Oryctolagus cuniculus: one gene and its partners. The protein of the gene in region 2 interacts with the protein of the main gene of each other region in a pairwise test. Links are inferred from orthologs where the notes say so. Each region holds a gene or a part of one and is shown on either strand. Other genes may lie near its edges.

Region 1 (6,916 bases), on a different chromosome or scaffold from region 2:
CCAAAGGGGCACCCCCACCGCGCAGCCTCCCCGACAAACCACAGCGGCCAACCTCCTGCTCGCGCCCCTGCCTGGAGGCCCTACACACCCTCACGCGGCTGACCTGCCCCGCACCAGTGTCCCTTTCCAGCCGCTGAAGCCACACTCCTCCCCCACACAGCCCCGAGGGAGTCCCCACTTCGACCTCCAAGACCCCAGAATCCCAGCACCTCGCCCCACCCGACAGCTACCGCGCCGGTCTCCTGGCCCCTGCTGCCTTCGGTCTGCGCCCCCGGCAGCCGGCACAGCCCAGCGCCAGCCGAGCCACCACCTGCTCGGAAGCCTCAGCGCCTCTCCCACCTGGAATCAAACCCAAGGCCTCCGTAACCTGCGCCCCCGCTCTCAGCCCTGCTCACCTCCACTTCCTCCCGGAGCAGCTGCCACTCCTGGCCTGTGCCCACTGCAGGGCCTCGTCGGCCCACTCCCTCCCACCCTCCCAGGGAGCTGTCCACTCAGATCCAGCTTATGCGTGTCCCAGCACCCCCAGATCCTTCCTTAGTTTCTTCTCCCCGCTGGGGGCAAGAAGAGAACATACATACACCTGTGGGGGGGGGGGCACACATGTTATCTCCCACCATCTGACAGGCTTTACTGACATTAAGATGTAAACTGGGGGCCGGTGCTGTGGTGTAGCGGGTAAAGCCGCTGCCTGCAGTGCCAGCATCCCTTACGGGCGCTGGTTCAAGTCCCAGCTGCTCCACTACCGATCCAGCTCTATGCTGTGGCCTGGGAAAGCAGTGGAGGATGGCCCAGGTGCTTGGGCCCCTGCACCCGCGTGGGAGACCTGGAGGAAGCTCCTGGCTTCGGATCAGCCCAGCTCTGGCTGTTGCAGCCATCTGGGGAGTGAACCAGCGGATGGAAAACCTCTCTCTCTCTTTCTCTGCCTCTCAAATAAATCTTAAATAATAATAATAATAAAAAAGGGGAAGCTGGGTGAGGGTGGGAATGTCTTTCTCCCCACTGGCTGTGTGAACCTAGCAGGTGCTCAGTAAGCCTGGGGGTATCTGGCACCTGCCTGTGACCGGAGCAGCAGCCCAGCCGGTCTGCCTGATTCCCAGGCGGGTCCCCCAGAGTGGCTTTGCAAGCTGGCACGGCGCAGGCTCTGGGCCGCCGGCCCCCATTGGGGACGTGCAGGATTTAGTCTGTGAGTCGGCACCCGTCCTGCCGGCTCTCCACCTCCCGGGGTTCAAGGCCAAAGGTACGGATGACATTCATGAGAGAAGCAGCGAGCAACACAAGCTCCGGTTCTGGCACCGGGGACACGGGACAGGGCGCCCGTCTGCCCGAGCCTCATCCTCACCGGCACACTAGGGACAGCCGCAGTTTCTCCCCCCAAGGTTACTGAAAGGAGATGGGACGAAACGGACACGTGGGCAGTGCTGAGACAGCGGGGGCCCAGCGGTCACCTCCCCGACAGCCATCCTTGGTCACCATCTGCTCGGCTTCTACAAGAACCGGCAGCTGCAGAAATGGGCCAGTGCTCTGCAGGTTCCCAGCGCGACGCCGCTTCCGGGCCTGTGCCTCGCGGGCTGGAAGGGGCCGGGGCAGTGCCGGGCGCACAGGACCAGGGCTGCGGGGCGGTGGACGGGAGGGGCCACTTACTGTTCTTGTTGTTGAAGACGGACACGGACAAGGCGTGCTCCATGTCCTTCAGCCTGATGTCCTCCCTCTGCCTTCCACGCCTCCAGAAGTCTAAAGCCACGTCTGTGATCCTTTCCGCGCCCGCATTGCTGCAAGACACGCCCAGCGGGGTCACGGCTCCGCTCCCGGGGGCCCAGAACCGGCCCAGCCAGCCCCGGCCCAGCCCTCACCTGAGGAAGATGAAGATGGCCTTCTGATAGGAGACCTCGTCCACCACGTCGTAGTAGTCCAGGAAAGGCTTGATGGCGTCGATGAGGCCGGCGTGCATCTTGTCCATCTCATCGAATATGAAGATGGACCTGGCACAGGCACTCACGTTGCCTCGGATCCACTGCTGTAACTGATCCTGGGGTGCGGGGCAGAGGTCAGTGCCGGCTTCTTGGCGAAGCCTCGGGCCCTCGGGCCAGCGCCCACCACCTGCGCTTCCTGGTGCCGTGTGCCCGCTGCTCTGCTCAGAGCACTGCACATGTGAGCCCTGTGGTTCCCTGAACACCCCGTGCAGCGGGCGCCACCATACCCATTGGACAGATGAAGAAACTGAGGCCAACAAGCGCTTAGTCACCTTGCCCGAGACTGTAAGATCAGTGTGGCGGAGCCGGCTCTGAACCGACCCTGCCAGCTTCCCGAGCCCCACGCTTGGGTGGGGGAGTCCGTGCTGTGAGCATCGCCCACGCGTATCCCGGGCACTGGGGAAGGAGGCGGAGAGCAAGCGCAGAGCGGCCTGGAGAGGGGGAGGGCGGGAGGGCCGGCGGCGGCTCCGTGGGCAGCGACGCGCCTGGGCCCTGGACCCCGTGCCTGACAGTGTTCCATGAGCACACACTTGGGGCCTCCTGTAGGACAGGACCCCTTGAGGACATCTAAGACCTGAGCTCTGGTTCTAAACGAGTGGGCGGTGCCCCCCGTGCCCCCCGCCCCGTGACAACAGGGCCATCCGCTGTCTGTCGTCTGGGGAAGATTCTGGAAGTTACGGCGTCAGTCTTGCCGCCTTTCAGTTTTGACGGGGCCTCTGTGGCTCCGGTGACAGTGCCGCCTGGAAGCTGAGGCGGGCGGCAGCCGCCTGCCCTGGCCAAGGGGGCAGTCACCGCTGGAGCGGGGGCTCCCTCAGATCTGCTCGGCCCCCCACAGCCCAGGATGTCGCCTCTGCCACCTGGACTCCGTGAGCGACAGGAGACACACGGCGCCCGCTCACCGCGGGCACAGAGCACAGAGCTGGTCCCAGCGGCGCCCACACGGCCCCCCTGGAGCCCGCCACGGCGGTTACTGCTGCGGCCCCGCTGCTGGGGGACACTTGAGTGGCACAGGCAGGCCGGGACACCTGCCCGGAGTCGCCCAGGTGCAGCCGCAACCAGACCACAAGGACCAGCGCCGAATGCTCCTGGCTTTAGCACCGAGAGCCCAGCGTGCCCGGGTCAGGGTGGGGGTGGGGACACGCTCACGCAGGCAGAATGAGTTCACACCAGTGAGCGCCCCCATCCTGCCCACACTGGGGTCTGCTGCCCGGCCCCTGAAAGATCACAGTGAGCCTATGCTTGAGGTTCGGGTGCCTGGCAGGGTGATGGGTGCGAAGCCTCCCACGCACCTGTGAGCCTCTCCAGGTGGGAGAGCAGGGGCTGTTAATCAGTGACCTGCCCTGGGAGCCCAGTTTGCAACAGTTAGGCTAAACAAACACGTGCCTGCTTCCTCCTGGACAACATGAATGAGACCTGGGATCCCCTCCAGGCACCGCGCCCACGACCTGGGATCCCTCCAGGCACCGTGCCCACGACCTGGGATCCCTCCAGGCACCGCGCCCACTGAGCCGCACCCTCAACCCCTCTGCAGCTGCCACACCTTTCAAAGGGAAACTGAGGCGGGCGCCAGGCTGGGGCTCACTCCCCTCCGCAGGGACTCCCGCACCCCTGCCCACGACGAAGCGGCCGCAGCCGGGAGCGGGGCGCTTGCCTTGTACAGGGTGACATTGGAGGCGTGGGGGAAGTGCAGCGTGGCCACGAACAGGTGCACGTAGTCGCTGCTCAGGCCGCCCTCGTAAATGTTCTCCGCGATGATCTTGCTGACCAGGTTCTTGCCAGTGCCGGTCCAGCCGTGCAGGGAGAGGGTGAGCGGCTTCTTGGGCTTGGGGTTGCTCAGGAAGCCGGACACGGCGTTCAGGATGACCTTCTTGGCCAGATGCTGCCCGAACAGCTTGTCGTCCAGGTCCCGCTGCAGCGCTGGCAAAGACAGGGCCGGTGAGGAGCGGGGGATCCTCCAGCCTCTGGCCAGAGGGGTCAGCGCCCGAGTCCCGCCTGCTGGGGACGTCCTGGCCCCGCGGCCCCAGGGCCCCTGCTCGGTTCCTCCAGGCCCAGCGCCCGGCAGGGAGAGGACCCAGTCCCTGGTGCCCTGGCTCCGACCACGACGGAGACAAGCTCTTCGGAGAACGCCCGCGGAGCCGCCCACCCTGCAGCTCGGCTCCCCCAGGCCTCCGCCCGTCCTGCGGCCGGAGCCCCGCCGCCGCCAGCCCCCACCCCCGCCTACCCTCCCGGTTGAGGCTCCGCTTCTGGCCGCAGCACTCGGTGAACAGGCAGTAGAGGCGCGGGTAGGAGATGTAGCCGGTGAGGACGCCGGCCAGGGCCAGACCCAGGCTGATGGGCTCCACCGCCCGCACCACCGACGGCGCCAGCAGCAGCAGGCCCAGCGCGGCCCGGCCCAGCTTCATGCCCAGACCCGCGCCTCCCCGCGCCTTCCTGCGCTGACCACCGACCGGCGCTACCGCCAGACACGCTCTTCCGGTTCCACCCCGCCGCCGCCGCCATCTTTGTTCGGGGCGGGCTATAGCTGTCTCCGGTGTCCGCCATCTTTTTTAGGGGCAGCGCGGCTTCCTGCTTCCGGCAAGTGGGCTCCCAGGAGACCTCGGTTTGGTTTTTGTATTTTTATAAGGATACGCAGTGTTGTTTTTTTTTTTTTTTTTTTTTAAGGACAGTTTTGGACTTACAGAAAAATTGACGAGACAGTACGGAGAGACCCCATAAGCCGCACCCCCACAGTTTCCCCTGTTACTAAAATCTTCACACTGGTATGCTGTAAGTAGTATTTGGCTATCAGTTGGTTCCGATCTCTACTTTCTCTGCCCCAGAACCCACCCCCTCCCCGTCTCGTTGCCACATCTGCGGTTACCCCTGATGGTTTCTTAGACTTCCCTTATTTCGACGGCCTTGGGTACTGGACAGCACTGGTCAAAGCTGTTGCAAGTTCTCCCTCTGTTGAAACAGGCACGGTGCCGCTCTGACCAGGCTGGGGAGCGGGGTCACGGGAGTGGAGCCGTGTCTTCACCTGCCATACCCAGGGCAGCGCTGCCCACGTGACGGAGGCCATGAGGCTGCAGCTGTCCACCCCAGGGGCAGGAAGCTGCCCCACTCCTCGGGACAACAGCGGCGCAGAACTACCCATGCTCCCCACGGCCGGCCTCTCCACGTACTTATTCACTCAATTATTACAGCAGTGTGGGCCCTCGGCCGCTGATTTCACTCTGGGTTGTAACCCACTACTGTATTGTTCCTTGGATTGTTCTGGTTTTGCTCACGGAAGTCTCAGCTGGTCTCTTGTGTTCCTTTGATGTATAACCAATGTATGCATATTTTAAACAAGGTGTGCGCTTTTAAAAGATTTTTTATTTACTTGAGAGGCAGAGTAAGAGGGAGAGACAGAGAGGTCTTCCATCTGCTGGTTCACTCCCCAGATGGCCGCAGCTGAGCCAGTCCAAAGCCAGGAGCCAGGAGCTTCTTCCAGGTCTCCCATGTGGGTGCAGGGCCCCAAGGACTTGGGCCATCCTCCACTGCTTTCCCAGGCCACAGCAGAGAGCTGGATCGGAAGTGGAGCAGCAGGGAAAAAGACTGGGGCCCATATGGGATGCCAGCACCACAGGCAAAGGCTTAGCCTACTACGACACAGCACCAGCCCCTATTGTTGGTTTTTTAACCATTTTATTCATTTATTTAAATTTTTAAAATTTATTTTCATTTTATCTGACAGTTAAGAGACCTTTCAGCCCCAAGTTTACTCCCCAAACACATGCAGCAGCTGGGGTTGGTCCAGGCCAAGGCCGGGAGCCGGCAACTCCGTCCTTGTCTCTCTCATGGGAGCAGGGGCCCACGCACACGGGCCATCTTCTGCTGTCTTCCTAGGGGAGCTGGCATGAAGCTGTGTCCCAGGCGCGGCAGCTGGGCTATGCACTGGCACTCTGGTGCTCACGTCGCAAGTGCCCCACAACGCCTGGCCCCTCTCCATTTTATCGATGAGAAAACCGAGACTCGAGGGATTAGGAGCAGTGAGCAAGGGTCCGATCTGGCCCATGTGCACCAAGCCTCCACGGCCACGGGGCTTGCACGCGGCCAGTCCGGCGTGCACCAAGCCTCCACGGCCACAGGGCCTGCACTCGGCCAGTCGGCGTGCACCAAGCCTCCACGGCCACGGGGCCTGCACTCGGCCAGTCCACAAGTCTCAAGCCCACTGCTTCCCTGGCCCGTCCAGGGAAACACCTCGGCCAGCCGGTCGGAGCGTCTCCGTCTTTTGAGTCAGCGGAGGGGCCCGGCACTGTGGTGTAGAGGGTTTGAGTCCCACCTCGATGCTAAATGCCCCTGGGAAAGCAGCAGATAAAGGCCCGAGTGCCGGGGCCCTGCAGCCACGTGCGAGACCCGGGGAAGCTCCGGGCCAGGCCCTGCCGCTGCCGCCGTTTGGAGGATGAACTTCAGCTGGGACGATCTCGCTCGCGGTCTGCCTCTGGCTCTCCTTCTCTGTAATTAATTCTTTCAAATAAATCACCTCAAAAAACAAGAACGGAAGGAGAACCCGTTTCTCAGGAGCTCAGTTTGACATCTGAGCCCCCCAGGCCTCGGGCTGTGAGAGCGTCACCTGGTGTTGCTGAAGGCCACGAGGCCGCGCTCGCTCTGTATTTAATAATCCAGCCCCACACGGGGGAGGACAGGGAGTTCTCCCTTGCAGAGAGAGAGGCCATTTTGCAGAAGTCAGAAAATGCAGGCGTCCGCTGAGGTCGTCCCAGCTGCTGCTGCTCTGAGCCGTGGACGCGTCCCTCCCCAGTGTCTGGAAGTGGAGGACACGAGTCCATGTCCACCACTGAGAGCCCAAGCCGAGGCCGGGACCACCGGGCACACACAGCTGTTCCCTCCCAGACCAGAACAAAGAGAGAAAGCCAGTCTATTTACAAACAAGATTTAATAATGCAGAGTTTGTCCCCAAAACACAC
Region 2 (7,000 bases):
TTGTCATTGTTTCAGTATTACCAATTCTAACTAAAATGATACAATTCATCCTTTACAAAAAAACTTGCACTTAACTTCCCAATTTTTCCCTCTTGTATCAGCCTATTTCAATGATATTTCTGAAAACATATTTGCAGAAAAAAAGTAATTTAACTGAAGACTTACGGGAAGATCAAGCCAACATAAAAAGAGTCTGAAGAACAAGGAAAAAGTACTCTGCTGTAAACTGTAAAGAGAAGCAGTCATAAAAAGCATCTCAAGTGTAAGTTTTCTCCTGTGATCTACATCTGAGAGTAGCTCAGCATCTTTCACTCCACAGACACAGGCACAGCAAGTGTATCGCCCATGCCATGCAAATGCTCACCCTCCACCTGCCTGCTCAGGCTATGGCTCCTGCTGCTGTAGTCGCCACCAGAGAAGGCAGCAGAGCTCAGAGGAGCAGTGGAGAAAGAAGAGAGGAACAGGCAATGTGTGTGTACATAATGAGTCTTCAAGAAGTTCTCCCAAAAATGCCTACTGGGAAAAACTTATGCATGCATTTCAAAAATGTTTGACACTGAAATAAACTTCTCTTTTCATTCAATTTTCCATGATCCTTTGTAGTGCCTTCCATGTGGATATGTACCTATGTGTCCATTTGTTCTCCAAAAAATTTAAAGTAATTTGCAAAATAACACCCAGTTTAACACAGTTCAAGATACAGATAAGAGGGTCAAGCTCTTGGCGGATACTCCCAGGTGGGAATTTAGAACCAAGTAGAGTGATAGGCAACAACTGCATGATTATTTTCTGCATGTCATTTGAGAGATGAACTACATAAATATTTCTGAAGATAGCTGCAGCACCTTTAAGCACTTCCTTCAGCCTTTGGACCGAGTGTCCACAGGAATCAAGGCATCACAAGGAGTAATCACAACACAGAATAACCTCTTCTTTCCATTTTGGAGTTACAGTCACAGAGCAGGGCTGTATCAAAGTCTTATTTTATAATTGCCAGACATTAAAATTAGTAAATATTATTCATCATGATAAAAGAGATCAATAGTCGATGAATTATTTTGATCATTAGAAATGTTTTAATTTTTTAAAAAAGGACTAAGTTTTCCAAACAGCCCTCTGAATACAGCCACTCATTCATTGGGGAAAAAAAGGATAAAAAAGTTCTAAGTGTTCTAAGTGTTACTGCAACATTTAAAAATCTGGGGAAACAAAAGATTAGCCACATTTTCTCACGATTAGCTCAAACATACACCTTCACATTCACCTACCTACCCAGTCCTCCGACTCAATCCATCCTTTTGACAAGTGATGATGCAAGAACGAATCACGTGAGAAATGTCAGCATTCTTGTATCCATCATTGTAACTAATCAATCAGGGACCAGTATCAGAATGACATGGGAGGTGGGGGGGCTACCTACCTACATAGAGAACACCCTCTTTTGTCTTCCCTGCAGCCTCTGCCACACCCTGTTTGGTTTTCTCAGCGGCAGCCACAACTCCCTCCTTGGCCTTTGAAAGCCCTTTCATGAACACATCCATGGCTAATGAATTCCTTTACACCACACTGGAAAACACAAAATACATGCTGAGTGAGAACTTTTTGGTAAAAGCAAGCAAAATTCAAACCATCCAAGCTAAAAACAAAACAGAAAACGAAAACACTAAAAATCTGTAGAAATCCCCAAAAGCGTGAAAACTCTTTGACGTGACCCCTCATTTCAACCACCTGGACAAAGCAGTCCGCCCCTCACTCCCACCCCAGCCCACTCCCCTTAAGCTTTAGCTTTAGGAATTTCTCCTCCCCCATCCATCTTGACTCATGCTGACCAGGGAGAGCATCTGAGCTGTTCTTACTGCATCTCAGAAGTGGAGTGGCAGGAACAGATGCGCCCTTCTTCCAACTTCCCAGGGTCCAAAGGGTGACCCTCTAAGTCAGCAGGAGGTTTAGAGGAAAGACCTCAGGAAAAGGACGGGAGCTGGGGGCCATGGCCAGGCGCATCCTTAAAATGAATCCCAGAAGAGGGGTAACAGGTTGATCCCAGGGGAGGGAAGAGCACTACTCACTCTGCATGTGGTTAAACCGCAAGACAACAAGGAAGGAGCCAGGGGACGCTCCTCTGAATCCACGGTGCCCTCCACCTCCGCCCTCTGCTATCTATCCGGAGCAGGCGCTGGTCTTCACCCGCTGGCAGCGTCCACACCCCTGCCAGCCACACTAAAGGGCGTTCTCAGCCGCACCGCACCCCCAAGCACACCTAGCGCCTGCACCTGTTAACCCCTTCCTACCTGTTGCCTTGTCCCCTCTGCACTTTATTTAGAAATTGGCCAAAGCTGTTTCCTCTCTTCTCGGGAAACAGCGAAAAAGCGGCCTACGGGGTGGCGGTTACCGTAAGAGAAGAAAAGTTGGATGCTCTTGCTCCACCCAGCACCCGGCGCTTCCGCGGGGAAAACGCACCCCGGAGAAGCCGCTGATTTCGCAGCCTTTGGGGAGGCCGGGGAGAGCTGGGTCAACATCCACTCCTGACGTGCACGCGAGGGACCTGCACGCCCCACCAAGAGCCTGGACACCGCGGTCCTGGGGTGCACCCTACCACCACCCCGCGTCCGCGGCGGCTCCTCTGCCTTCCCGGGTTTCTCCACGATTTCCAAAGCTGCCCGTTCAGAGCCACAGGTACTCACCCGAGAACTCTGCTTCTCCGGGACTCCGAGTCCTCCCCTCCCCCCCTTTCCCTTTAATTTAAACAAGTGCCAAATATTATTTAAACGGGCCAAGGGAGGGGACGGGAGCGCACAGGAAGGGCGGAGGCGGCGCCAAGAGACGGATGATCCCCAGAGGAGGCTGCCGTCAGCGCAAGCCAGCGACGGGAGGCGGGGGACGTGGGAGGCACACGCGCGAACCTCGCGTCCAATTGCCACTCCCCGTCCCCCGCACGGAGGATGGGGGAGGAAGAAAGCGAGGGTCGCGAGGGAAGGCGGGCGGAGGGCTGGAGGTAGGCGCAGGGCGGGGCTGCGTCCCGGGGCTGCCCAGAGGCCAAGCACACACCTCGCTGCGCGTCAGCACACACTCCCGCTCCGCCGTCGTCCCGCTCGCGGGCCCCTGGTCGCGGCCGTCCTCCTCCTCGCCGTCCTCCTCCACCTCCTCCTCCGGCGCCCGGATCTCCTCGACTCACCGCCCCCACGGCTGATTTGTCAGCGCCTCTCCCCGCCCCTCTCCCGCGCTCGCTGCGCTCCCGGCGCGTGCTCTCGGCTCTCGTGCTCCGTGGGGAGGGGGTGCGGGGCAGGTGGCCCCGGCCACTGCAGCCGGCCGCCTCGGCCTGGGAGGCGTAAAGGCGCGGGGCCCGGTGCTTCACCGCAGGCTCAGAGGCACCGGGAACGTGCGGACCTCCGGAGCGCTTTGGCTCGGGCTGAGGTCTCTTCTTTCCACCCGCTCCCTCGCTGTCTCCTTTCCTCTGGTTTCTCGGGGACCTCGCTCCCAGCAGAGCCTAACCCTGGGGCTTGGGGACCGAGGAATGGGCGTCGCAGCCGAGCCTGGCTCCGGGAGCGGACGGAGGAGACACGGGGCGCGGCGGGGGCGCCTGCACCTGCCCCGCGTCAGCCCGCTTCCTGACACTTAGCACACGGCCGAGGGGCGCCTCGTGCAGGGTCGCTTTTGTTCGAACATCCTCGAGGTTTTCTGTTCTCGCTTAACCCCGGGTGAGCCCGAAAGGGTCCCGCGGGCAGGCTGGGGACCACCGAGCAACAGATACAGGTTCGGGAGGCACGAGGGGACTCGTCAAATCGTCTCCCTACCAGGCTCTCACCATTTTCTTTTCCACCAATCAGCGGCTGCCAGAAGCTGATTTTTTTTTTTTCCCCATCTGTGAAGCAGGCAATAAATATTCCCCAGCCGTCGAAAGCGAGCGGCCCCAAGGCTTTTCGCTCTGGAAACGCGGCTTCGTTTCCAGACCCCAGGACAAGGTCTAGGAGGCAAATCCAACGTGGTGCACGTTGCCCTCCGAGCTGACACCCCCTCCCCTTACACGGCACACGCGAGAGAGCCCCCGCCGATTTCTGCGTCGTTTAACGCATTTTCACCCTTGTCAGTGCTGGGTGGAAAACAGCTGTTCCTAGATCACACCAGAAGGGAGAACCAGGCTCCCCCCCTCCAGCAGAAGGCCTTGCTTTCCTGGCCCGGTTCTTGGAGATGGGCTTAGCACGGAGGGGAGAACAAGGCTCTGCTGCCTCGTTTGTTCCTTGGTCTGTTTCTGTTTTTCTGCCGCTTGCACGCATCTGGGTTCTGAAATTTGAGTCAGATGTGCTTTCCACCTATAAAGCACAACTTGAAACCACAAGGGATGGAAGCTAACGACTACATAGAAAGGATAGAGATAGCTAAATATATAGATTGTTAGATAAAAGATGGATAGATGACAGGTGACAACCAATACATAAGAAGGGGAGGGGATGGTGGTAGAAAGAAATGATACAGATAGATTCCGAAGAAAAAAAAAATGTGAAAATTAGATCACAAGTATTTATCACTTAATAGATCCTCACACTCCTTGCCTCCCTTTTGAAAAACAGCCTTTGGACGATACAGCCGCTCATATTTTGTTTTCCTGGGATCAGAGGAAGAAAGCAGACACGGGAGCTAGTTTGCCATCTGATTTTAAGGCCGTGAGCAAGTTATGTCCTCCTGTTTACAGCTTTTCCTCCTGTAAATGAGGAGGTGAACTAGATGATCCCTCTCTTTTCAGTTTTTTATTATGGAAAATTTTCAGACATGTACAGAAGTAGAATCAAAGACTCTCACATGAGTATCACCCAACTTTCACAATGTTTCAATGCCTGCCTAATCATATCTAACTATAAACACTCCACTTTATCGCTACCAATCTTCATTTTTAAGTAAATTCCAAGTTTTATATGCATATTTTATCTGTAAACATTTCAACATGGATTCACAAAATGTAAATTATGAAACAATAATCACCATAGCACTTGAGAATTTTTATTCTTGGTTATAATTTACATAGAGTAAATGCTCAGCTCTTAAGTGTCGCTATGTGTCCATTTTGAAAAATCTGCACTATTTGGAAAACCCAGAACATTTTCATCACCCCACAAAGGTCCCATGGACCCTTCTTAGGTGTGTACATTCTAACACTTCATCAAAATGGAATCATAAAGTATGAACTTTATTTCCTATTTGACTTCTCTCTTCTAGCATAGTATTTCTGAGACTCATTCATGCTGTTACATGAATCACTGGTTTGATTTTTTAATGCTTTTCATTACTGCTAATAATGCATTTTTCCACTGTGACCCACCACGACCACATGTCTCAACAGATATAAATAATTATGACAGTTATTTTTTAAAGATGTGTTTATTTAGTTGAAAGGCAGAGGTACACAGAGAGAAGAAGAGGCAGAGAGACAGAGAGGTCTTCCATCCCTTGGTTCACTCCCCAATTGGCCGCAACGGCTGGAGCTGCGCCGATCTGAAGCCAGGGGCCTCTTCTGGGTTTCCCACACTGGTGCAGGGGCCCAAGGACTTGGGCCATCTTCTGCTTTCCCAGGCCATAGCAGAGAGCTGGATGGGAAGTGGAGCAGCCAGGACTAGAACTGGTGCCCACATGGAATGCCGGCGCTTTAGGTCAGGGCGTTAACCCACCACACCACAGTGCTGGCCCCTGACAGTTATTTAATATGTGATTTTATATGACATATTTGTGGTTTACCAGGGACCTGGTCCTTTAAGATGGAGGGGTGAATGAAATGACAGTTATTTTAGGTGTCATGAGCAAATCAGTGATTTATTTTGGGGATGATTATGCATCTTATAACATATCATGATCCCATACTTTTATATAGTACCTATGTTTGGCAAAGGACTAAAATCCCGTGTCACTTAATCATAACAATTGGATAAGTTAAATTTTATATAACTTTTATAGGCAGAGAATCTGCTGGGGAGATAGACTGAAGTTAATTAGCTTTATGGTGGTAGAGCTGAGATGATCTAGCAGAGACTGTACCAGAAGGCACAATCATCTGAACTGCAGCTCATCCTTGAAGCCTCATAGATTGAGTGTGTACCATGGGGAAGAAGTGGTGGGACCCAGCTCTGTTAGAAATAACCTTTGAGTTTGGATATCACAATGGAAATCAAGGAAAATGTACACTATTATAAAGCAATATATTCAGATTTGCAACTTCACCTTCTCTGTGCCAGTACCCCACCACTCCCGTGTGAGATACGGGTATCCCAAATGATAGAGTGACCTAATCCTGATGTGAACATTTTCTTAATAATTACCATACATGTCCTTCATTTTCTCTTCAGTACATGAAATATCAGTATTTTACCCCACATTAGTAAATTATTTTATCCAGGTTTATTTCAGTAATTTCACTATAGATTAGCATTCAGTGAAATGTATGCTTTCCCTAGACTTAATTTTCTCTGTGAGATAACCAAATATTTAGTTATGTCCTGTGGTAAGCCTGTGCTATGGCAAAAACAGCAGAGCAGGAGCCAGCGTTGTGGCACAGTGGGTTAAAGCCCTGGCCTAAAGCGCAGGCATCCCATATGGGCGCTGGTTCTAGTCCCGGCTCCTCCCCTTCTGACCTAGCTCTCTGCTATGGCCTGGGATAGCAGTAGAAGATGGCCCAAGTCCTTGGGCCCCTGCACCTGTGTGGGAGGCCCAGAAGAAGCTCCTGGCTCTGGATCGGCACAGCTCCGGCCGTTGCAGCCATCTGGGGAGTGACCAGCAGATGGAAGACCTTTTTCTCTGTCTCTACCTCTCTCTCTAACTCTTTCAAATAAATAAAATAAATCTTTAAAAAAAATTAAAAAAGAGAGCCGGCGCCGTGGCTCAATAGGCTAATCCTCCACCTTGCGGCGCCGGCAAACCGGGTTCTAGTCCCGGTTGGGGCGCCGGATTCTGTCCCGGTTGCCCCTCTTCCAGGCCAGCTCTCTGCTATGGCCAGGGAGTGCAGTGGAGGATGGCCCAG
Region 3 (7,117 bases), on a different chromosome or scaffold from region 2:
GAAGGGAAAAGCACACAGGCCAGGGCTCTCTAAATTGCTGTTCACTAAAAGACCATACATCTCCTTATTATAGCTTTTCTGAACCAAAGCCAAACAGTAAAGAAGGAAACTATCAATGATAAATAATTTTGTATAATAGCAGAAAATGAGAAAGTAGGAGAACTTCATGGCTGCTATTATTAATATAGAGAGGAAAGGGGAGGGGAAGGGAGGGGAGGGGAGGGGAGGGGAGGGGAGGGGAGGAGAGGGGAGGGGAGGGGAGGGGAGGAGAGGAGAGGAGAGGAGAGGAGAGGAGAGGAGAGGAGAGGAGAGGAGAGGAAGGAAGGAGAGGGGAAAAAAATAAAGAAAAATAAGAGGCAATCAGGAAGGATTCTGATGTTGATATTTAATAGTGCGTACAATGGGGTAAGTGGAGGATTAAACAAAGGACTCAAAAGGACCTAACAGAACCATCTCACTCTCTAGCATAATAGGTTTTCTTCCTATGTAAGTAGAATTTAACTAAAGAATTTTTCTTTCATGTTTTCTTCTCTCTACAAACTAAAAAGAGAGCTGAAAGGAATTTACTTATTTCTATCCTTTCAATATTTGTGCAGAGAAACAGACAAAAACCAGTCTGCCTTTGTCCCACTTAGCTCTGGTTTTGCCTGAAAGCACAGCAGCCTTTAAGGAGCTTAAAAGTCAACCAGACTTAAAGAACAGATCAGGTATCCAAAATAAAATGCATACCTTATTTACAAAAACACTGAACCCAATTTATCTATTTTCTACCTCACATACTAATTATTACAGGAAACCGCACAGGACTGAAACACCACATTTCTTGGAGCTGAATACTATTTCTCCCTCCTCCTCCTGTTTTATTATTCCACAAAGAGGACAGAAGCCAGGTGAGAGCAGAAAGAGCATACACTATGTCAGAGCTCTACTGTCCAACCTTAGTGAAGGACAGGGCCCAACCTCAGGACACAGTGCCCACTTGTGCTCACTTGGATGACAATTTCCTTGACAAAAACCTCTTGAGAATCCTCCTGGAATCCCTGAGGTATATAAAGAGAGCTCCTGGCTTAAAAGCCATTATACTGGAAGCACTGTACTTTACTGTACAGAATTTAAAGGTCTTGGCCGAAAACAGCAATTTTTGACTCTGCAAGGACTAAGATACTGAAACCATTAGCTTTCCATATCTCTACACTGAGTGATAACATGAGATGATCTTTAAAAGTTTTACCAATTCCAAAATTCCAGGCACTCAAAAATAGTATTTTTAATTAAATATGGAAGAAAATGCCCATAATGTTCTATAATACTGGCTATATCTGTGAGGGGAAAACAACTTATTTCCCTCCCTCCCTGCTCAGTTTACTTTTAGATCCTAATACAAGAACATGATATTTGATTTGTTAACATTTATGTCGGGTCACAGAAATACTGTAAGGCCCAAACTTAGCCATGAGGCTTAAGAAAAATAAGTAAAAGAAAAGAACACAATATTAGATATACAATACTTAACACTGTCTACAAATGAAAACCTATTAATTGTTTTTTACTTTCTCCTAATATTTTCATATTGATACACAAGGGCACTTCAAAAAGTTCACAGGAAAGTGGAATTAAAAATGAGTTTACTTCAGTACAAAAAAATGCTATGATATATAGAAAATGAGTATTATGAAAAAACTATGCAGACATTTCAAAATTTTTTGCACTCAAATTCATGCTTTTAATGCTATTTTCCACAAACTTTTTGAAGTACCATTGTATACTGTTTCTGATAATTCTGTGTAAATTTAAAAACCTTTCTCGTTTTCTGCTTTAATTCTTATTGTAACATAAACTTTATATACCACTTTTCAAAAATTTCATGTAAGAACAATTTTATCTGTTATCAAAATAGAATGATGTTGGCATTCTAAATGCCTTCTTGATTCCTTACCTTTGTAATGCTATCACTGAAAAATGTCTATCAAGTGGAACCTGCCAGAATGCTTCCTGAAGTTAACTGATCCTAGCATTTACTATTGCTATAGAAACAAAGTAGCATCTGGCTGATCTCTGTTTACAGCTGAATTGAAAAGGCTGGTGTGAAATCAACTGAATATAAGTAACTCAGATTAAAATCATCTGCCATTCTCTAGTGACAGACAAATGTTAGAGTATAATGGATGAAACTATAATCAAGTAATTGACATTATTTCTTAATATCAACTATCTTCTAGTAGGGCTCAGTAGACAGACTAGCTGTGCAGTTTCTGCCTTAACATTTTGAGTGGTCATACCAGAATTCCAAAGGCTCTTTCATGAACAAGTATCATTAATTAAATATAATACAGCCCAAATATCATAATACTTTATTGACTAATCAATAGGTTTTCCCCTAATGCTTACCCTAAACTCTAATCATTTTCAGTCATGTGAGGGATGAAAGGTTTACTGCTCCAGGGAGAACTAACTCCCTTACAGAAAGCCAAAGAGAGAAATATCTATAACTTTAAAATCAAAACAGAAAAAGGTAGGGGGACAGGGAGAAGAAAGGAGGTAAGAGAGAAGTTCTAATGCCAGAAGTCAGACTGAATGTCATCCTTTCATAGGCTAAATCAATGGGGAATCTTCATGTTCTTGTATAAAACAAGGGTATGCAATTCTGATAATAAATGAAAAGGCCAACAGATAGTGTTACAAAAGAACTGGGAAAAGCAAATTATCTGAGTGTGATTCACATTTACTAACTGGGACATACACAAAAGGTGCAGCAAAAGTGGACTCCATGTTCAGTTTTCCCAAGCATACAATAGCATTAATCTCCATTCTAGACAGAGATCATGCGAAGCGTGAGGCCAGCTAGCTGCAATCAGAAAGGCACTGGGTAGCCATTTTATACCTGGACCCGTAAGGGCAAATACTCTTCACAGAGATCATCCCACAGCTCCTGCAGGTCTGAAATCTCCAAGGGATACCCCACAGGTGTCTTGTAAAAGGGTTTCAAAGACCGGTTAAGGAAACCGGAACTAACTCCATCTGTCATGATATGGCCAGGCTTGGCTCCAGGTGGGCTGGATCTGATTGGGACAGGAAGCTTGCTCCCTCGGGGACTCCGGATGGGCTTATAATCAAGCCCTTTAATCGTGCTCAGCGCTAGCTCCAGCTTGTGGCTACACACATGCTGTGCAGCCTGTTCGTCTGCACAGCAGTCACACTTCGCAAGCTCCTTCGCACTCCTCTCCGCCTCCTCGTCCTTGTGTTGAGGAGGACTAGGTTGGACACTTGCATCCAAAGACTCCACAGAGGACCCCGGCGTCCCTTCCTCCATGCTTTCCCCATCCGGGGGCACCTTTGTGCCCGCCAAGTCCGGGGGCCCGACCTCTGACAGCGCTGGTTCTTCAGTGCAGATGCTGGTAGACCAGCGGCTGGAAGGGCCACAGGAGATACTCCTGGCCACCTTTCGAGGCACTTTACAAATGGCCTCATAGTCAGAGTCGGCAACGCGCAAAGCTGCACAGCCACGGCATCTCCTGGGTCGGTTGCCAGGGCCTTCCGAGGCATGGCAGCTGTGCGGCTCGTGGATCTGATCCTCACTTTCCACCCAGCACTCAAAGCCCGAATAGGCAAAGTCTTCCTGGAGCAGAGCGGAGTATCTCACATCGGGCAAGCCGGAAATGTCAACCGTGCCGTTCCCCGCCTTGATCTCGGCGCCGCAGTCGTCGTTATTCTTCCGATACATGCTGGCGATGCAGAACTTGAGGCGATCCTTCTCCAGCAACAGCTTCTGCAAGCGCTCGATGGAAAGGGCTTCGATCCGGGCAATAACGGTGTCGAACCTATAAATCCGATCAAGCATGAACGCACACTTGCTGCAAGCAAACTCGGCCTTGCCATCGCGGGAAACATCCTTGCCCAGGACGTGCGACAGCAAAACCTGGAGGTTGAGCTTGGACGCCGTGTGGAAGATCCAGCGCCGCTGGTTTCCACACAGCTCCCGGGCACAGATCCTGCAAATCTCTTTCATCTTCGCTCCTAGCGGGTACCTAGCTTCCAGGCGACGACGGCGGCTGAGGGGTCGCTCACCAGCCCCGGGCTGCGCTCCGCCTCCCGCCTCGGTGGTCTCCCGCCGGCATGGCACAGCCCTGAGGTGCGGGCTCCGTAGGGGCGCGCCTCCGCCACCCGCGCGCCGGCTCTGGGTACCAGCGTGCTCAGCCCCGCCCCTCGGGCAGGGGGCGGGCGTGGAAACGCCTCAGGGGGATGCTGAGTGACAGCGGCGCAGGCCGCGCTCGGACCCCTCCGCGTCTCCCACAGCTGTCTCGCCCGCCAGCGGCCGCGTCCCAGGCGTCGTCCCCTTTCAGCGAGCCGGCCCGGTTCCCGGCACCCTAGCGGCCGCCCGCCGCTGACGCAAAGCCTGGGCGATGGAAGATCAGATTTCAAGATGGCGACGACGGCTCGGCGCCTGCGGCCTCCGGGAGGTTCCTCTGGGAGCTGTAGTCCGGGCGGGCGGCTCCCCGCTTTGCGCATGCGGGATGGCGAGTCTCCCCCCTCCCCCCCCCCCCCACACACACACACTTTGCCCCAGACCCGGCGGCCGACGCTCGCGGTGGAACGCAGAGCTGGCTCGCTGTGGGAACGGACGGACGCCGTCCTGGGAAAGGCCACTTTCATCTGTTAAGTTCCTGCCAAAAAAAGGCGCACCGATCTCCTCAAGGATGCCGCCTCTGAAGGGTGTCCGAGGTTCCTGCCAAATCCCCTCCCCCCCTGTCCCCGGGCAGTGCCACGTACCCTGGATGAAGCAGCCCGGCGGCGCCACTAGGTACCGCTGCGCGCCGCCGCCTCCAGCCCGCAGCCCCTTCTCCTCTCCAGACCCGGCCCCGGGCCGGCATCGAAAGGCCTCGGGGCGGCTGAGGCGGTGGGGGAAGGGTTGATGACCGCGGAGGGCTGGTGGGGCGGGTTTTAGGAGGCTTAACCGTTCGCTCGACCGTTGGGAGAGCCGAAAAAGCGAGGACAAACGTTTCTCCCCCAGATGTTGGGCGGGAGAGGGGAAGGCTGTTAAAACCCGAGTGCTTTGCCGTTAGATAAAATCAGAGCACAAAGCAGTTCCTGAGAGAGTCCATCAAAGACCCTGTGAATGCATCTGGTCAACCAGGATTCTGAAGAGAAAATGGCATTTTCAAGAACGTAGCCACCTGAGACGAGATCAACATCACCTTCGGGCTCGGTGTTTGTTTAGGAGACGGAGAGGGTAGACGAAGGTTCACACAAAAGCCTGAGCCGAAAGTCCCGGGAGTGCTGCTGTCTTCAGAGTTAGGGCTGGACTGAACAACCCTCAGCGCCCCCGCCGCCCCCCACCTCGGCTCTGGAACTCGGAATGCACACCGAGAGGACAGAAGCTGGAGTTCCGCCGAGGTGGAATGCGCAGGTGCCACCAGCCATTGGCAATGAGGAAGTCTTCCCTGGCTGAAGGAGCACGCAGACAGACACCAGCCAGGAGGAACAGTAACCTCAGCAGTACCTGGAGTCCCCCAGAGCAGGACACTGGCCATACGTCTGAGCCCAAACTCCTAAGCTTATCAGACACCTAGCTGCCTTTCTGAGGATTAAACGAGGTGGTTTCAGGGAAATGTTTTAATAATGTTTAGCTCATTAGGAAATAGCTAATATTGTTGCTGTTTTAATAGCTGAACATTTTAAAGCAGTTTAGAACATCATGGGGCTCTGCATATATTGTTCTAATGACCAAAACAAAATCCTACCGCTCCATTGTGAGAGAATAAAGGACAGTCCTCAGAACTTTGGGCTTAGAAGGCTAACAGAATTCTCTATCTGTAATTTCACCTAAAAATACATATGTTAACCCCAAAACGACTGTAAAATGTAATTCTAAGTAAAGCTACAGCTGCTTTTTTGCTTGCCTCTAGATATGTGCGTTTCAAAGTTGCTTCACTTCTTTTTTAAGCAAAGATCTTTGGCATCTGTAGTGATCTCTAGAAAGGCAAGGGGTTTCTGAACACACTCTGGCTGATGGACACCTAGATGGGCCTGCTCTACCCTGTTATAACTGTTATCCTGAAGAGCAACCAGGACGAATGGCCCATAAAAGTGCTAATTAAAATGTTAATCAGGGTCCCATCTTTGTCAATGCAAGTGGCTATTTTCCCGTGTGGAAAATGCTAATGAACATTTCTCAATTATTTAGCAGCAAGCCCTGAAATAATACTTTGTATTATGCTCTATTACTTTAATAAGATTTTGCATGTGATAGTCTTCAAACTTCAATGATAATATATAAATAACTATATAGAAGTACAAATCAGTACAAATGGTGAAAAGGTGATATATCTTGAAGAAAATAAGTAAAGATGAATATGATAAAAGATATACAGATATAGATATACTTCTAACAGCAGGTAGAAATAATATTCCCACCCAGCAATCGAAGAAAATTTAAACAGCACACTATCCTATCCTAGAGAAAATATTTAAAAACTTTATCACAAAGTAGACAGTAAGCTATCATAGAACTAGTCCTAACATGAGCATTTAGTGTCATATAATAATGTAATTGCAACTAAAAAGTTACTAGTGTGTAGATAACAAAACAAAAATATAAAACTCAGAAGAAAAATTATGTGATAATTTCAGCACTTCATAATCCTTATTAGTATTTTCTAGGTTAAGATTTTGCAGTTAGTTAACACTGGCTACTTTGAGGGGTGAGGAACAGGGTTGTGTTAAATGAGGGTGTAGTCTTTTTATTCCGAATATTGCATATCATTTCAATTTTTGTCAATGACTGTGTATTCAAGTATTACTGTTAAATCTTAATTTAGAGAACAGATTAAAGGTTATGCCAATCTATCACTAATATCGGATCTAAGTGAGTAAGATTTGAACCTAAAATGGGAATTTCCATAATAGGAATGGTAAATATTTATATAATAATAAGTGGACAACTTATATAAACAAAGGTCTAAAGGAGATATGCAATAACTTACTAGTAGTGATTATAAATGTCTATATAAATATAGATATTTATTTTCTTTGTTACTTAATTTGTAATTTGTGATTTTCTACCATAAGTATGTATTGCTTTCGTCATAAGAAAAAAAAATATTTGTTACTAAGAAAAAGG
Region 4 (7,021 bases), on a different chromosome or scaffold from region 2:
CCCTGCTCCCCGGGCTGCAGGGGGGCAGTGTCTGTCTGGGAGGGAGAGCGGCGCCCACGCTGGGCAGGGGGAGACACTGCTCTCACCCCACTTATTTCGCGCCCCTGCTTGCTAAGGGCTCGTCCTGCTTTGGGCATTTTGGGGGCACCACAGCCACGCGGGGATCCTGAGCTGCGCCCAGGGCCGGGCCAGGAAGATTAGGGGCGTAGCTACCGGTGGGCAGTGGCCAACGACGTCCTGGGCTGGGGTGGGGTCCAGTTCTGGGCAGGTGACGACTCCAGAGACCACGCTCTGCCTTCAGCCAGGGTGGCCACCTGACGGGGAGCACGGGTGGTCAGGGTGTGCATCGCCTCCACGCGCCCCACCCTCCCCCAGGCCCCAGCGTCGCCCAGCGTCGCCCAGCGTGGGCCAGCGTGGGCCGTGGCCGCCTCAGTCTGGCCGTGCTTGGTGAACGGTGCAGCTCCAGCTCCAGAGTACAGGGACCCCACGTGAACTACGCCACGGCTCCACCGCTCCTCCGACGTCCTGACCCGAGAGGAGGGGCGGCACCGCACGCCGCAGTTCCTCGTCGCCCCTGCAATCGCGGCCCCGGGCCGCCCACTGCCCTGGCCAGCCCCACGGCCGGCGCGTGAGAACTTGCCTTGTCCCTGAAGAGGGCCGCGGCCCTGCTCTCGTACTTGTCCTGCAGGGACCAGCAGGGGTCGTAGTCGGCCTGGGACTCCAGGAACTCCCGGAACTTGGCGTTGCCCCCGACCTTCATCTTCTCCAGCTCCAGGTCCTTCCACTTGTCCATCGTGACCGAGCGCACGAAGCTGGAAGCCGGAGGTGGGCACTGGCCTCATTACCAACCGGGGGGCGTGCGGGGCGACCCCCGCCCCGGCCCCCCCAGACACGGGTGCAGGCGGGCACTGACCTGAGGTGCACGCCCAGCCCGCGGTGTCTCCCCGAGCACTCTAGGCAGATCCAGATGCCGTAGGTCACACTGACCCACTGCGGGTTGAAAGCGCCACACTCAAAACAGACCTGCAGAGGGGGCCACACACGGCTCGCCGGGGGCTCGGGGCAGGCCAGAGAGCCCGACGCCACACACAAGGACCCCGGGGGAGGAGGGAGGCCCAGGCGGCAGGCAAGCCTGGGCGGGGTGGCCGCTGATCCTGCCAGGAAGCCGGCACGAGGGGCGAGCAGCCCCAGGGGAAAGCGTCCAGCAGGAAGGCCAGGCAGACGGCCCCGGGCGACAGGAGGGCCGTGGCCCACGGCAGCCGCAGGCGGCCCCGACTCACATTGTTCTCGTCCCGCACCCTGACCTCCTTCAGAACTTTCCGGGTCCTCGGGCTGGCCATGACGCTGTGGAGACAGAACGGCCCCGTGACAGACCCACACGCGGTCCCTAAGTGAGCCATCGGCTCACGACACTTCACACCTGCCCCTTCACGAGGCCTCTGGCCCACCGCGAGCTGCCCAGGCCACCCGGCGTCCACGTGCACGTGCAGCGAGGCCAGGCCGAGCCAGGTGCGTCCTCGTGTCCCTCTGCTTCAACCCCACGGCCCGCCACGACTGCGAGAGGTTCACAAACAGCTCTGTCTTGTCAGCGGGGGAGCCCCCGCCCCAGCACGCGCTGACCCCTGGCAAGGGCACAGCCCCCCGCTCCCGCATGCCCTGACCTTCGGTGTGGAAAGGCCAGCCTGGGGGTCTGGGGCAGGTCCTCGAGGGGCCACCCTGAGCTCCCTCTGGGCGCAGCAGGACCCCCGTGACCACCAGCAGGGACAGTGGCAGCCAGGCCCAGGTCCAGCAGAAAAACTTCTCATTTCCTAAGGATGCACTGGCTTCGGCGCGTGGCCGATTGACTCGCAACCAGAAAACTCACACAATCCAAGCTTCCAGCTGGGGGCAGGGGTGGAGCCCTGGTCCCGCGCACCCCTGGTGAGGTGAGCCCGGCCTGGTCCCGCGCACCCCTGGTGAGGTGAGCCCGGCCTGGTCCCGCGCACCCGTGGTGAGGTGAGCCCGGCCTGGTCCCGCACACCCCTGGTGAGGTGAGCCCGGCCTGGTCCCGCGCACCCCTGGTGAGGTGAGCCCGGCCTGGTCCCGCGCACCCCTGGTGAGGTGAGCCCGGCCTGGTCCCGCGCACCCCTGGTGAGGTGAGCCCGGCCTGGTCCCGCGCACCCATGGTGAGGTGAGCCCGGCCTGGTCCCGCGCACCCATGGTGAGGTGAGCCCGGCCTGGTCCCGCGCACCCATGGTGAGGTGAGCCCGGCCTGGTCCCGCGCACCCATGGTGAGGTGAGCCCGGCCTGGTCCCGCGCACCCCTGGTGAGGTGAGCCCGGCCTGGTCCCGCGCACCCATGGTGAGGTGAGCCCGGCCTGGTCCCGCGCACCCCTGGTGAGGTGAGCCCGGCCTGGTCCCGCGCACCCCTGGTGAGGTGAGCCCGGCCTGGTCCCGCGCACCCGTGGTGAGGTGAGCCCGGCCTGGTCCCGCGCACCCGTGGTGAGGTGAGCCCGGCCTGGTCCCGCGCACCCGTGGTGAGGTGAGCCCGGCCTGGTCCCGCGCACCCGTGGTGAGGTGAGCCCGGCCTGGTCCCGCGCACCCCTGGTGAGGTGAGCCCGGCCTGGTCCCGCGCACCCCTGGTGAGGTGAGCCCGGCCTGGTCCCGCGCACCCCTGGTGAGGTGAGCCCGGCCTGGTCCCGCGCACCCCTGGTGAGGTGAGCCCGGCCTGGTCCCGCGCACCCGTGGTGAGGTGAGCCCGGCCTGGTCCCGCGCACCCGTGGTGAGGTGAGCCCGGCCTGGTCCCGCGCACCCCTGGTGAGGTGAGCCCGGCCTGGTCCCGCGCACCCCTGGTGAGGTGAGCCCGGCCTGGTCCCGCGCACCCGTGGTGAGGTGAGCCCGGCCTGGTCCCGCGCACCCGTGGTGAGGTGAGCCCGGCCTGGTCCCGCGCACCCCTGGTGAGGTGAGCCCGGCCTGGTCCCGCGCACCCATGGTGAGGTGAGCCCGGCCTGGTCCCGCGCACCCGTGGTGAGGTGAGCCCGGCCTGGTCCCGCGCACCCCTGGTGAGGTGAGCCCGGCCTGGTCCCGCGCACCCGTGGTGAGGTGAGCCCGGCCTGGTCCCGCGCACCCCTGGTGAGGTGAGCCCGGCCTGGTCCCGCGCACCCCTGGTGAGGTGAGCCCGGCCTGGTCCCGCACACTCCTGGGCCTCAGCCCCCTGCACACACACACTCCGTGTGGCCCCTGCCGTGTCCCCTCCTAGTCACACGGCAACGCCGGCTGCGAGGACACCGGCACCCAGAGAGCAGACAGCCCGCAGGTGCCACTTCCTGTCCAGACGCAGCTTAGACAGAACCACGATGGACCCGCCCACTTCATTCTGGCTCAGGACGGCCTGACCCCTGACCCCTGCACCAGCACCCAGCTTGACGCCATGTGAAGTTAGGAAACAGACACCGGATTCTGGGGTCCAAGGGGGAAAACCAAGCTTGCGCCGGGCACCCTCCTGCGCGGAGCCCGCACCCTCCTGCCTGCCGGGCCTGGGCTGGCACCGCTCGCCAGGTCTGCGGTCACAGTGGCCGCACGGGGGCCCGGGGCGCATTTGAGGGCGCGCGCCTGGGCGAGGGGTCGGGAAGTCCTAGGCCAGGGCTGGGGCAATCGCCACAGCGGCCGATCCTCAGGCTGATGTTACCGACGTGCAAACGGCCCTGCGCAGGAACGCAGGGAGCTGCGGCGGGGACGCGCGCACGGCCGAGGCCCCGCTCGGCTCAGGGAGGCCCCCGGGGCCCACGCCGACGTCCGCAGCCCCCGCGCCCTCCGCGCCGCCCCCGCCCACTCTCCGGAGCGTCCAAGGACCCCGATGTCCCCTCCTGCGGGGCAGAACGCGGGTGCCCGTCTCGCTCGGAACACCGCACGCGGCGAGGACCCGCGCCCGAGCCCGGCCCCCGCCGCCCCGAAGCCCCGCACCGCGCCAGCCGCTCGGGAAGGGTCGTCCCGCCGCCCTGGCCCGCAAGCCCACGCACGCGAAAGGCCGCGTGAGGAGCCCGCCCCCGCCCTCTCTCCCGCAACACCAGCGTCCGCACCAACGCGGGGGCCGGCAAGGCGGCTGCCACTCCGCGGGCGCCTGCGGCCGGACCGCGGCCTCGGAGCCTGCGCCCCGCCCGGCACCGGGCCCACGCAGAGCCGCGGCGGGCGGCGCCCCTGGAACCGCGGGCGGACTCAGGCTCGCGAGGGAAGGGGTGCGGGGGTCCGCCCGGGAAGGCCCCGCGCGCCCGACAGCGACGTCGCCCGACAGGGCCGGGAGCCCGCGCCAGGGACTGGGCCGCGCGCTCACCTGGAGAAGAGGCCGGCCGGGGCTGGGGTCCAGGACAGGCTTGCTCCGCCACCCGCACCGCGCGCGGATCGCCCCCCGCGGCCACCAGCTTCCGGCAACGTTGCGCTTTGCAAGGCCTCACGGGAGGCTGTCAGCGCGGCGGGGCGGGACTTCCGGCCGCCACCCCAGCCGGTCGCCATGGAGACGCACCTTCCCTGTGGTCGCCGGGGTCCGGGCGGGAGGAGGGTCGGGGCTGCGCGGGGGCGGGTCCCGGGCACCGTGAGCGGGGTGTCCCCGCGGGTCGGGGTCTCCGGAGGAGGAGAGCGGGTGGGTCCCCGGGTGCCCTGCGCGGGTCCGTGGGGCGGAGTGGACGCCACTCAGGTTCCAGGCCCAGGCAGGTGAGCGGTGGAAGCTGTGGGCTTGGTGACCTCTCGCTGTCCATGGCTTTTGCTTTGTTTTTGACTGTGTGGTGGCGTCGTCGCCTACAGCAGGAGTTAAACTCAGGGCTGGCAAGTGCCAATGACCTTGGCCGTGAGCGTGGCCTGCCCGCTGGTGTCCACCCGGTCTCAGCGTGGCTGTCGCCCGGGATGGAGCTCTGTGGGCGCACCTTCCTGGTGGCGCCTTTCACCTGACAGGTGTACTGATTTAAAGGGCGGAGGTCCGGAGAGATCACCTTCCCTGCACTGCTTCACTCCCCAGATGACAGGGGCTGGGCCAGGCTGGAGCCGGGAGCCCGGAGCTTCTCCCAGTCTCCCACGTGGGTGCAGGGCCCAAGCACCTGGGGCATCGTGTGCTGCTTTCCCGGGTCATAGCAGGGAGCTGGGTTGGAAGTGGAGCGGCCAGGACCGGCACTGATGCCCACACGGGTGCCAGCGTTGCAGGCGTCGGCTTTACCGGCTACGCCTCGGCACCGGCCCCTTGAGGCGACTTTCTATTCCTGTCAGCTGGCAGAGCCCCACCCACAGGAGCCCTGGGTCTCCCTGGGGACTGTAAGCTCACCTGGACAAGCACCACGCCCATCTCCGCCCCAGGGCGTTTCCCACAGGTGTTTAGGGGGCTGTGGACCAGGCAGGCCCTCAGCATCCTCCAGGCAGTGGCCAAGACCCCTGGGGCTCCATTGGAAGTAGCCATCCTCCCGTGTCCTGGGGGTCATCAGACCGCGCCAACAGGTGGGCCAGGTGCGAGGCTCCCAGCAGGAGGCCACGGTCAGCATCATATGTCCCACAGAGTGGCCCAGGGCTGCCTGCCTGGGCAGCCTGGGTCCCTGACCTCTCCTGTGATGACCATGAAAGAGGGAAGTTCCGTGACAGGGGGCCGACGGGAGGGGACCGTGTGGTCTGGGGATCCAGGCCTACCTGGTCAGAGGAGGAATGGGGCTCCCCTCCCCCATGCCAGGCCGGTGGTGCCTCCAAAGGAGCAGCACGGGACAGCGGGTCCTTCGTCCAAAGGACCCACTCCCTCCCTCAGGCCCCTGTCCGGTGCAGAGCCCTGAGGGTGCGGAGGCAGCCCCGCCCCCGGGCTCTGTGCCCACCTGGACCTGCTTGCCCTGAAGGGGCGGCGGGGGCTCACGACGTCCCCTCTGGGGAGCGGCCATCATGTGGACGGGCCCCTGTCTGTGGGGCTGTGCACCACGCGCGCCCCTGCCGCAGCCCTGCTGTGCCTCCAGGTCGCCACAAAACCAAGCCCCAGCAGCCTCGGCAGCAAGTTCCCTAACCCTAGCGTGGGCGGGGAGAGGCTTGGCCGGGCAGCTCAGCTCAGCTCACCAGGTCTCCCTGCTGCCTCTGCGCAGCTGTCCTGGCGCCCGGGCCCAGACCCTGGTCTAGTCTCCCCCAGCCACTCACAGAAGTGAGCTCGGCGAGTGGAGGGAGGGGTGCGGCCGGCCCCACAGGTCCCCGATCGCTGGACCCGTGAGGTCATTCATGTCCCCTACGGGTGACATCCTGGTTGGCCTGTGCTCGAGGGGCTTCCCTCGCAGGAACTCGAGGTTTGGGGCAAAAGATACCTCCCAGCTGCATGGACGCCCGCCCGACCAACCGGAGCCCACTCTGCCCTCAGAATTCCCCAGAGGCCTCTCTGCGGGGGACCGGCTTCAGGGGGAGGCAGGAGCTAGGTCCCGGCTCCCCGCTCTGCACTTTGTAACAAAGCCCTGCTTCCTCTCCCCAGCCCAGGCCGTAGCTGGCTTGCTGTGTGTCACCGAGTGGACTCCCTTTGGGGGGCGCTGCAGCAGTTTGTGAGGTGGGTGGTGTGGGGCTCAGTTCCCACCTTTGCCTCCTCACTTTGAGCAAGGTTCATGCCGCCTGCCCAGGGCCCCCGGGGAAGGGAGAGCTCGCTGGAGCAGGAGCCCGGTTTGCTCCCGCCCTCTCCAGGTGAGGCTGGTGGCAAGTGTAACGCCGGGAGCACAGCCGTTACAGTGTAGCCGGGGTCTGCTCCCAGAAGCGGGGAGTTGAGAGCGCTTCCTGCTCGCAGACTCAGATGGGACCCAGTGCCCGGGACCTCGGGCTGGAGGCAAAGAAGGCGAGATGCTGAGGGTGTGGGTGTCGGGGTGCAAGGTTGTGGGTTTTGTTGAAGGGACCAGAGAGTGCTGCCTGGGCCCCCCGCGCTCCCCTTTGCTGAGGCAGAAAGGGAGGGGGCGCTTACACGGAAGGTGCGCGGAGCTGGGCCCCATCCGCAGGCACAGGGACCACCGCGGTGTCCTTGATAACCAAGGGCCCTGGGCCACGTGAGCCTCCAGGAA

What was found.
Region 1: the proteins of SNCA (region 2) and TOR1A interact in a two-hybrid assay, tested with the Homo sapiens proteins (2 studies listed by BioGRID, with this or other methods). The link is inferred for Oryctolagus cuniculus from reciprocal best matches to the Homo sapiens genes SNCA and TOR1A.
Region 3: the proteins of SNCA (region 2) and PDE4DIP interact in a two-hybrid assay, tested with the Homo sapiens proteins (2 studies listed by BioGRID and IntAct). The link is inferred for Oryctolagus cuniculus from reciprocal best matches to the Homo sapiens genes SNCA and PDE4DIP.
Region 4: the proteins of SNCA (region 2) and ARFGAP1 interact in binary tests that used the Homo sapiens proteins (3 or more experiments, as listed by UniProt). The link is inferred for Oryctolagus cuniculus from reciprocal best matches to the Homo sapiens genes SNCA and ARFGAP1.

What each region holds. Positions count from the first base shown.
Region 1 is NC_091432.1:232,661,755-232,668,670, forward strand, and holds the start of TOR1A (torsin-1A), read right to left. Parts: upstream 4,464-6,916; 5' UTR 4,373-4,463; coding exon 4,192-4,372; intron 3,888-4,191; coding exon 3,622-3,887; intron 2,027-3,621; coding exon 1,851-2,026; intron 1,770-1,850; coding exon 1,642-1,769; intron 1-1,641. UniProt on the Homo sapiens protein: Protein with chaperone functions important for the control of protein folding, processing, stability and localization as well as for the reduction of misfolded protein aggregates.
Region 2 is NC_091439.1:75,751,599-75,758,598, reverse strand, and holds the start of SNCA (alpha-synuclein), read right to left. Parts: upstream 3,774-7,000; 5' UTR 3,046-3,773; exon of another isoform or gene 2,289-3,045; intron 2,255-2,288; exon of another isoform or gene 1,857-2,254; intron 1,567-1,856; 5' UTR 1,542-1,566; coding exon 1,421-1,541; intron 1-1,420. UniProt on the Homo sapiens protein: Neuronal protein that plays several roles in synaptic activity such as regulation of synaptic vesicle trafficking and subsequent neurotransmitter release.
Region 3 is NC_091438.1:50,610,429-50,617,545, reverse strand, and holds the start of PDE4DIP (myomegalin), read right to left. Parts: upstream 4,464-7,117; 5' UTR 4,007-4,463; coding exon 2,882-4,006; intron 1-2,881. UniProt on the Homo sapiens protein: Functions as an anchor sequestering components of the cAMP-dependent pathway to Golgi and/or centrosomes.
Region 4 is NC_091442.1:569,039-576,059, forward strand, and holds the start of ARFGAP1 (ADP-ribosylation factor GTPase-activating protein 1), read right to left. Parts: upstream 4,464-7,021; 5' UTR 4,309-4,463; intron 1,345-4,308; 5' UTR 1,341-1,344; coding exon 1,281-1,340; intron 1,024-1,280; coding exon 914-1,023; intron 813-913; coding exon 641-812; intron 315-640; coding exon 214-314; intron 1-213. UniProt on the Homo sapiens protein: GTPase-activating protein (GAP) for the ADP ribosylation factor 1 (ARF1). Involved in membrane trafficking and /or vesicle transport.